Schizosaccharomyces pombe: one gene and its partner. The gene in region 2 interacts genetically with the main gene of each other region. Each region holds a gene or a part of one and is shown on either strand. Other genes may lie near its edges.

Evidence for each region. Genes that interact genetically often act in the same process or in processes that back each other up.
Region 1: of tdp1 (region 2) and top1, a mutation in one rescues a mutant of the other (synthetic rescue), as found in Schizosaccharomyces pombe (4 studies listed by BioGRID, with this or other methods).

What each region holds. Positions count from the first base shown.
Region 1 is NC_003423.3:2,941,069-2,946,170, forward strand, and holds top1 (DNA topoisomerase I), read right to left. Parts: upstream 3,529-5,102; 5' UTR 3,513-3,528; coding exon 3,500-3,512; exon of another isoform or gene 3,447-3,499; coding exon 3,346-3,446; exon of another isoform or gene 3,300-3,345; coding exon 969-3,299; 3' UTR 666-968; downstream 1-665. Other genes in the region: HOPS/CORVET complex subunit, vacuolar sorting protein Vps33, read right to left, coding at 4,098-4,867, 4,919-5,102. UniProt on the Schizosaccharomyces pombe protein: Releases the supercoiling and torsional tension of DNA introduced during the DNA replication and transcription by transiently cleaving and rejoining one strand of the DNA duplex.
Region 2 is NC_003421.2:527,372-532,037, reverse strand, and holds tdp1 (tyrosyl-DNA phosphodiesterase Tdp1), read right to left. Parts: upstream 2,976-4,666; 5' UTR 2,866-2,975; coding exon 1,255-2,865; 3' UTR 542-1,254; downstream 1-541. Other genes in the region: protein psg2, read right to left, coding at 3,391-3,848, 3,946-4,287, 4,373-4,436.

The sequences.
Region 1 (5,102 bases), on a different chromosome or scaffold from region 2:
AAAAAAAACTTATCGTGAGTTCAAAGAACAAACCTTCGAGTTTGCGTTATAAACAGTTCTAAAAAATAAAAGAAAAAGAAATCTCCAACTAAGGCTATCTCCTATTGAGAAACTGCTAAAAATGAATATTTAGGAATCCGGTTGAGTAAATGTAGGTACTCGTAGAAGGTAGGATCCAAATGCTAGTGTGTTCATACTTTGTTTTACGTAATTTAATCTTTACCAACCCGATTGTATCCGCTCGTGGTTGCATTGGATTGCTCCAGCAAATAGTGAGACAAAATCTCTTCCACTGATATTTCTGCTATACCGGAACTTGTGCCAATCTGACAAAGAGAACGAAAAAGTGGAAACCGGGTTTAAAGATGCGAAAAAGGCAGTCAAATGTAAACGCTAGAGAAAAAAGTAATTTGGATGGTATAGAAGTGCTTGAAAAACTATTTAGTACAACCAAAGAAGAGTAATTGGTATAAAGATTAAAAAAGCAGCAGCTTGGCTTTTCTTTCCTTTTCTATTTGTAAAAAAAAAAAAACAAAAAAAAAATTGTTTACAAGAGTAAGTTTGCTTGTATATTGAATTTGATGATCGTAACAGGCATTTCACCAATATTAAAGAAAAAGACCTCAAGAGTAAACAGTAATTATGAAAAAAAAAGCCAAATGCAATGGGGATAGTATGAAATGTCACGTTCAATTTGTTTTGTGCTAAATTTTATTCTGTCTATATTTTTGCTGAAAAAACTTCCTTAGCTTTGCATTTTTTGTATGAATTTTTATTAAACACTAAACTAGAAGTAATTAATTCCTTCTTTCAGCACACTAAGTTGTTGTACGCTAGCATTCATTTCAAGACATCATTAAGTCACGAAATTACGAAGCACTTTCACAATTTGTCTGCCGTAGGATGATAATAAATAATTTTTTTTTAAAAAGTTCAATGAAAGATACTTTTCTTAAATCGTAGAGGACTTACCACTTCCAATCCGGAGGTGTATCAGCAGCCCAATTGAACTTGTCACGAATCGTCTTACTAAACAGCTTCTCAATAGGAACGTCTTCTCGCTTGCTGAACGAATAAGTAAGCCTCGGGTCTATGTAGTTAATCTTACTTGTACCCAAAGCAGTAGTTTTATTCTCGTCTTTATCGATCATCTGAGTACGCATAACATTAATTCGTTCATTGAGTTTGTTTAATCTTTTCTCAAGTTGTTCCATCGAAGAACGACCTGGATCGACTTTTTTGCTTTTAAGTTCAGCGTCCAGCGCTTTCTTCAACTCATCAGCCGCTTTCAATCGAACTTCCAATTCAGATTCCGGAAGCACTGATTTGGGATCCTCAGCAGCTAATTTTTCGTTCTCACGATCGAATTTCTTTTTTATTTTCTCTTTTTCTAGTTCGTAAAGTGTCTCGTGATGTTTTACGATCCATGAATCGGTAATGCCTTCTTCTTTAGCCAGCAATTCGGGCTTGCTTTTAGCAAGCTTGGGCTCTAAATTCAGCATCATTTTTCGCAGTCTCATCCGCTGGTATTGTAATGCCTTAATCCTTTCGGCAAACCGTTCCATTTGAACATCGTGATTTTTGGTTACGGAACGTTGATGATTACATAAAATTGCAACAGTCCTATTTGCCCTATTATAAAATAGTATTTTGTCTGCAAGGGTGAGGTTCTTAGGCATTTTCTTAAGTTCCTCGGCCATGGTGTATGAAGCATTGTAGGTACGAAATACTTTAGCTGAAAGTCCATCCATAAGGCTAGTCAGATATTTGTTAAGACTGTTTGTACTGAGACGGTCGAAAATTAAATCACCCTCTTTTTTGGGAGGACGTTTAAAGATCTTTAGATTTTTAAAAACTTGGGGATCAACTTCAACCTCGTTGTAGTAACGAATAGAATCTTTACCAAGAAAATCGAAAACGACTGTTCGTGGTGGCTTCAGTGTAACATGTTCATATCGCAGTGAACAACAACCAACAGTATCCGCCTCGTCTTCACCCTTTTCATTTCCTGCTCTTAAAGCAAAAACATCAATTAAATACATGGCAGTTCCTCTTTGACGCTCAACCGTTAACTCACTTTTCAAATCTTTCCGGTAGCCTTTACGGATATCATCAATATAATCCTTAAGCTTTCTTGACTTTTCGTATTTTTTTAAGTCACTCTGTCCTTTTAGAGAACTTCCTGCAGCTAAAAAGACATATTTGACATTATTATTTATATTTTCATGCCAGGTTGCCAACCAGGTCACTGTATTATCATGCTTTACCTCCGCCCATTGATGCCCAGGGAGTGGTTCTGGAACGGGTACACCTTCACCAATATTAATGGTAATTTGTTCAGGATATACTCGACGCTTTAAAGAACCAGTTTTAGGATGACTACCTCGACCACGAAATAACCCTGGAGGTTCAATACGAAAGTTACCAACCTTCTCCTTTCTCCCATCAAGTATGCACCATTTATATTTTTCCTCTTCCTCATCTTTTTTCTGCTTTATTGCCTTCTTCTGTTCCTTCGGCATACTCTTCTTCTCTTCCCTCTTTTGCTCAAAATGGTGAAACATTTGGGTAAAATCACATTTAGAAAACTCTTTAATGTTGTGATTAAAGTTACATTCATCACAGACCTTTAAGAAGTCACGGAAAAAATTATCTTGGAATACAGGATTTTTGGCATGATCGGTTTCAAGCATTGCAGCATAAAAACCAGCAACTTCTTCTGCTTCGGGAGGAAGATTTACGGGGTTTCCATCGTAAATTAGCTTGACGTTCTTTGGTAAAGGTTCATAGGGTGGAGCAAAAATTACACCATTATGCTCCAATGTAGTCCATTTTTGAGTATCATCGATATTTTCTGAAGTCCACCACTTGTAATCCTCATCTTCATCTTCCTCATCGTTTGGTGAGCGATTTTGCGTGGTCGAAGCTCCCGAAGGCAGTTCTGATTTGTAAGGAGTTAAAGATACAGTCGAAACAGCTCTCAATGGAACTGAATCATCTGTGTCACTTTCCTCTTTTTTAACAGCTGACTTCGCGCCATTTTTACTTCCATTCGCTTTAGAAACACGTTTATGCTTCGGTGAGGGCTTTGCAATTTCATTGAAATCCTCTTCCTCTTTTACAACCGCCGTTTTTTTTCCGTTTTTTAAACCACCATTTCCCATTACTTTAGCTCTTTTTTTAGAGCTTGAATTGGACATATTTTTCTTTGAAGAAGCACGTCTCTTTCTAATCGGTATATCATCCTCATCACTCTCGGATTTGGATTTCTTATTCAACGATTCACTAAGAGGATGATTCTAAACAATTAGTCAACAATCTTTAATTATTATGTTGTGAACATACTTCAGAACTATCACTCTCTTCGTCCGACTCCTTCATACTAATCCGTTTAGATGAACCGCGTCTTTGCCTCCTTCTAATGGATAAAGACACGGAATCTGAATCTTTTCAGTTGTTAAAAATTTTGCAAATGTTGTTAAATTACGTGAAACCTTACCAGACGAAGACATTGTGAATTGTTTGCATACATCTATAATACAGTAAAAGAAGGATTAATATTGAGTACGTACACTCGTTGTCATGACAACCAAATATTGACAATTAATGTTTGTAAAAATTAGTAGCTAAATGAGAAACTGGAATTTTCAAATAAAATAAAATTTAATGTTACGAAGCTTGCAGCAAAAAGCTATAAATGTGCATATTTCAAAATAAACCCATTAACAGTACGAGAAAAGTAATCTCTAATAATTTTGAAAGCTTTAACTTTACATTTATTGTAAACAATACCAAAAGCCACTGAATATCCAAAACAAAAAAAAGGTGATTTGATTGATACAATAAGCCATTAGCTGCCAAATATTGGAGGTTTATTATTTAATATGTAAGCTAATATTTTGGCAGTAAATAGCAAATAGCTTAACAGCATATAGGGAAAGCTTTAATGCCACTTCAAATTCATAAACTACTAAGGACTTAATAAAGTGGGTTAATAAAAAAAACAATAATTAAAATTATGGGATTCTCTTAGTGAAAAAAAATGAGATTAAATATCGTCTTTAGCTGTTGAACAAATTAATGAAACTGGGTGATCATCACTCATTCAAAGATTCAATATTTGGAATAAAAGCTCTTATTAGAGAGCTTCCAGTTACCATTCCCGTAGTCATAAATGTGAATTCATATAAATCTTCTTTTTCTTGCAATAAACGAAATGCAGCCAGCTCTGTGTACGTGCAACCACCGATGAAAAAAACTAAAACACGACGTTTACCTGGTACGTTTGTCTTCAAATTTTTAGGCATGACCTTTTCCTGGTCTAATGTCCACTTGTCAACGTAAGTTCCAGGCATATTTTGCAACTTAAGAATTTTTTCTTCATTGTCTCTGCCTTTTAAAATGTCATATGCTATGTGGACTGACAAAGGACCGTACCCGCTGTACGTATAGGCTATATCTTCAGGATTCTGCTCATCAACTTCGTCCTTAACCAAAGGATAAGTGTTTAACCATGTAGAATAAGACAATGATTTTTGAAGTGAAATATTAGTGGATTGCCGGAGGCGCAATAGTCCTGCATCTATCAAGGCTTGGAATGTTAAAAGGTGATAATAACCATATGTTTGAGTGATTTCCCTACGGTAATGATCTATATCTTTTCTTCTCAAACCATTGGTAGTTATACTTGCAAGGCAAAGTACTCGAAAAACCTCTTCAACAGGTGCTTCGGCATAGATAATTTCATCTAATAAATTGAATTGAGTAAAAGAATCGGCATGAGAAACTAGCAAATGCTGAAGTTGTAGTAGCTTTTGAAAGTAATTATTTTTTGTGTGTTGCACCAAAGTTTCAGCGAGACCAGTGTCTATCTAATTAATAAAATTTTTTATGGAAATCAAAAGAAAAAAATACTTACGAATATTTAATGATGTATGCTCCGATTGTAAGGAACCCAGTTTGGAAACGAAGTCTCTAATCTGATTTACAGTTTTGGCTTGACGTCGACCTTCAAAATCGCTGGATAGTTTTCGAGCAATTTTGCTTAAATAAGGGCCTATGCAATTAAAATTTATGTCTCTAATTTCCTTGGTAATTTGGCT
Region 2 (4,666 bases):
AGGAAAACTGTACAACAAACATTCCAAAGACGTAAAGCTTTTAGCAACTTGAGGAATATGCAACCCGCTTAACAAACAATTGATTGGAATAATTCGTCAATCTTTTAAAGAAAAGAGAAATTTGATAAACAACTTTTCTTAAGGAAAACAAATTAATCCTCCAATAACAAAACAATGAGAAAACAGGCTTGAGTCGCGTACTAGCCTTCCTTTCTTCATGTTTTCAGCACAAGAATAAAGTATTTTATAATTAAATTATTTCAAACATTTTACGGATCTTCTATATGAACCAAAACTTAACAATTTTCTATTCATAGGTCTTGGTGGAAAGTAAAGGTAAAAAGGAAACACTGCTATGTAAACAAACAACTTTCAGGTATATTGTATCGTACCTTGCAAAAGCATAATTATGCAGCTCGTTATTTGCACATGCTTGAAAACTACCGAAACTCAATTGTAGAAATGTAAATAAAACGTTTAAAAACATTATCTTCTTCTTTTGTTCTATGCTCGTAATAGGATAGGAAAAAATGTACCTGTTATATTTTCCTATAATTAAAGAATCTAAAAAAAATTTCATTAGCTACCGCGTAATCGATATGATGGATATACTACTAGTTATTAAACTGCCAAAAATTCATGTTCCTTAGTCTTTAACTAATAAAGTACAATGCATTTTAAATAAGCTGTTTTTTCATAATCAATGGATGATCGGACTACTGTTTTCGTTTCCTATTATTTCTTTCAGTATAATGCATTTGCAATACATCGTTTAATATGTAGCGTGGTTGGACGTGCTATCTTAACTTGATATTTGCGAGACATAAAACAGCGACACTGATGCGTTATATATCTTCTGAATGTAAACAAATGAGCTGAGAGTCCAACTGAATAGTCCCTTATCTTGTGCTTACAATTTTGCCAGAGAAAAGAGAAATTAAACAAAAAAAATTAATTTCACGTATTAAAATCTGTAAAGTCGGAACCTCCGTTTTCTTGAACATCCTACTGACTGTTTCCAAAGACTTGGGGCTATCAAACATTTTCAGTGACATAAAAACCTATCCAAAATAAAGAAGTAAATTACCCTTAAACAATTAGAGTATTGTAAAAAAAAAGGCTCAACATTTTCTGTTGAAAGCTCTGCTGTCTAGTCTGTGATGTCAACTTCAATGTATAGATACTTCAATTTAATCGAATTGTCCATGTTTTGTAAAGCCTATGAAGTATTTTTATCATAAACGTCCTTATGATTTACCAATTGGGAGGCCAAACATAACCCAACCAGTCCTTATCCGTTCTATTTATCACAGGCGACCATATCTCATCCTTGTCTTCATACTCAACAGGTGGGAAATCCCAACACATTCGTACACCAATTACTCTTTTTCCATAAAACTCTCTCCTTTTCTCATCCAGATTGGGAGTATTCGTCTTATAAGTAGGAGTCATAATGCAAGGAGCGCGTTGACTTTCTTCAAATAATTTGGGATATAACAATACACCGGCTTCATAGGACCGAATCCTGAGTCCTCTTGTTGATCTTGATTTTGCCTTGTGACCTTCTAAAGTTCCCCAAGCGGGTTTACTCAAATTAGCACTAGTAACAAGCACCCAACGTAGTAGTTCTCCATCATTCGAAAATCGCATGTACGTTTTAATATGTGGTGCAACTCTTTGTCTACCAGCTTTCATGGCCACCCATTTGCATAAATTCTTACCTTTTTTTAAAGTTTCCACTTGGCTTGCAGCTGTTTTCCCCAAGATGTTGAAATGAATAGAGGAACCAGATTGCCAACCTAACATAGATTGCTGAACTTCTTTCACTGTTGGAAATAAAAATTTCCAATTCCCTCGTTGGCAACCAAAACCATCCGTTAATTCGGCAATGTACTCCTGTTTGGGTCCAAATGAACCCATGGAACTACACTGAGAAATACAAATGTCAGACTCTTCGAATTTAGTTTTCTCGTCCTTCTTTGAATCTTTTTCCAACATCTTTAGAATCTTTTTTAACTTTCCTAATCCCCAAGAGCTTTCTTCCTCGCCTTCGAATTTTCCAGGTACTGATCCAATAAATATTGCTCTGATTGCTGAAAAGTCATACATTTTCAGTTTCTCAATAAGCTCATATGTGTGCCTATAATTCTTCAAATAGGCCAAGAAATCTTGTTGAAATTGTCGACCGATTACACCCAAATCATCGCTACTCCTTGTATCGGACTTATGTTTAAAATTCTCAAAAGCGGAATCTACATCAATAATATCACAGTTTCGATCATCTTTGATGTCAAGGCTTCCCTCATGCTTCCTTATCTTGGATGGATTACCGTATTCAGGAACACTAGAAGTTGAAAGGGAATCGTTCGCTTTAGGATATAGTAGAGGGGTTTTGAAGATGGCTTGAGACATGCCAATCCAATCTGGTTCAACTAAATTGGCTGTGTGTATTACAATTTGGCATGAATCATCTTTGAAAAAATTCACCATAATCTTAGAATGGTGCGTGCCCCACATTGGAACGTAAACACTGTACAGTTTGACATTAACAGGGCAATGGTTCATCTGGGCAGTTAGTCTTGCTAAACTATCAGACTTGGAGTCATATCCATGAGTAATACGGACATCGACAGTAGGGAAGACACTAGCATGCATGTTTTCCAACAAAAAATTAAGGTCGACACAGAAATTAAATTGCCAAGTCTGCTTTAATTGAGGGCTTCCAATGAGCTGTTTTAAAAGAAGACAATGAACGTTTTCGCTTTCCGGTAATGCAGAAATTTTATTTAAGAAAATAGGAGAGTCAATTATTTCATTCGATTTATCTTCATGTTGTCTACGCTTTTCGGGCTCAAGAGTAGACATTTTCGATTATCTTTCAATCATACCATTTACTATAAAATATATGGTTTTTTCTTTTTGTAAATATAGGTATATTATTTGGGAATAAGATATTTGGCCATATGTAAGCAATTGGCTCGTTGTAGGTGCATCAGACAGAATACTTGATTTCAAATTTCGCAAAGAAATATTAAGAAAACGTCAATTAATATGACTTAAAAGTCATTTGAGTTATGCGAATCTTAAATGATGCTGGTTTATTTTCTACAAGGGCGAAACACCGTTCAATTTCTTGAAACTTGTTTACAGATATTCTACAACAGTTTCCTTTTTAGTACAACTATAAACTTGTATTTTAATTGCTTGTTCAATTTTAACAAGGTGGAAACCCTATAAGATGAAACAAACATGTGATTTTTCCATAAACGAAATGATGAAAAGGTTGATGATTAAAAACAGAGTGAAATTAAATGACGATTAATCTAGCTTTCTTCACGAAAAACAAAAACTTCTTGCTACTAACAATGAAGAACTTCTCTATGCACAGATTTAATGGAATTTTTTTACTTGTGATTGGTAATAATCCTCATCATCCGAGTCCTCAAAGTGTGCATCGGCTGGAAGACTAGTATAGGCAACAGGACGGCTTTGCATACGTTGGCGCCTGCTGCGTCGCACACCATATCCAGGAGCGGATCTACGGATTCTGATCTTTGCCATATAAATTTTCCAAGTGTCCTTCCTATAAGCGTAGTATACGAGAGCAACGAGAATAAGCCCCAAAATTACAGACGGGACGGCGATGGCTGCCTTGATATTTCTCCTTGGACCATAGAAAGCTGCATTCTCAGCGGCAGCGGTGGCACTATCTAAATCCTTGGCAAGTAAGATTCTTGGTCCGGTAAGCAGCGTCATATTGTTTTCACTAATAGTAACCAAATCGATGGTGACATTCTGGAAACTATCATCATGAAGCCAACCTTTGTTAGCCTTTAACATTATTTCTCCTGAAAAATAGTTAGCAACAATTAAGTGAACGCTTTTAGAAGCAGAAAATCTATCCGCAAGAAGTAATGCTGAATTCCCGCTCCTCTACAAACGAACCTTTTGAATTTTGAACCTTCTTGGTAGCGGCAATCAACCCGCTATCGTTTAAATAGGAAACTACCATAAGAAGATTATCAACTCCAAAGTACAGAGGATCCCATGACACTTTATACTTGCGACCTTTTACCCAACGATCCCCTTGGTTAGGTGCACACATGGGTATATCCGACTGGATATATTTAGAAGGAACACAGTTGTAATAAGCATTAGTCGGTAAACCTTTTGTCGTGGTGATTGTTTTACTAACAGTGCTTTCAGCCGTAGCCAGGTGAGTTCCACTGACTACAGTATACACTTTCGTAGTCCTCAAGTTAGGATTACCGGAAGACGAGGAAAAATCTATAGGTTAGTGTTATGCTTAGTGAATGAAAAAAAAAAAGAAAATCTGGTTAGCAAACAAAGCAAAAAACTCATTAGAACATACAATCTCCTAAAACTACTTGAAAGAAAAGTGAAAACAGAAACACTGATCCACAAATAACTTTCATTGTAATTTAAATGTATGAATGAAAAACTTTAGTAGGGTTCAGACAGTGATAACAACCCGAATATAGAAAAATGACAAAAGCGGTAATATACGAGGATAAAGACCAATTATGCAGCCAAACAGTATTCCTTTCTTGAAAAATTATTGTTTAAGCTTATATAACATTAATACCAACCGGAATTGCTGATTTCACGAGATACTCATAAATTCCGCTGTGTATTGGCAGCGGAA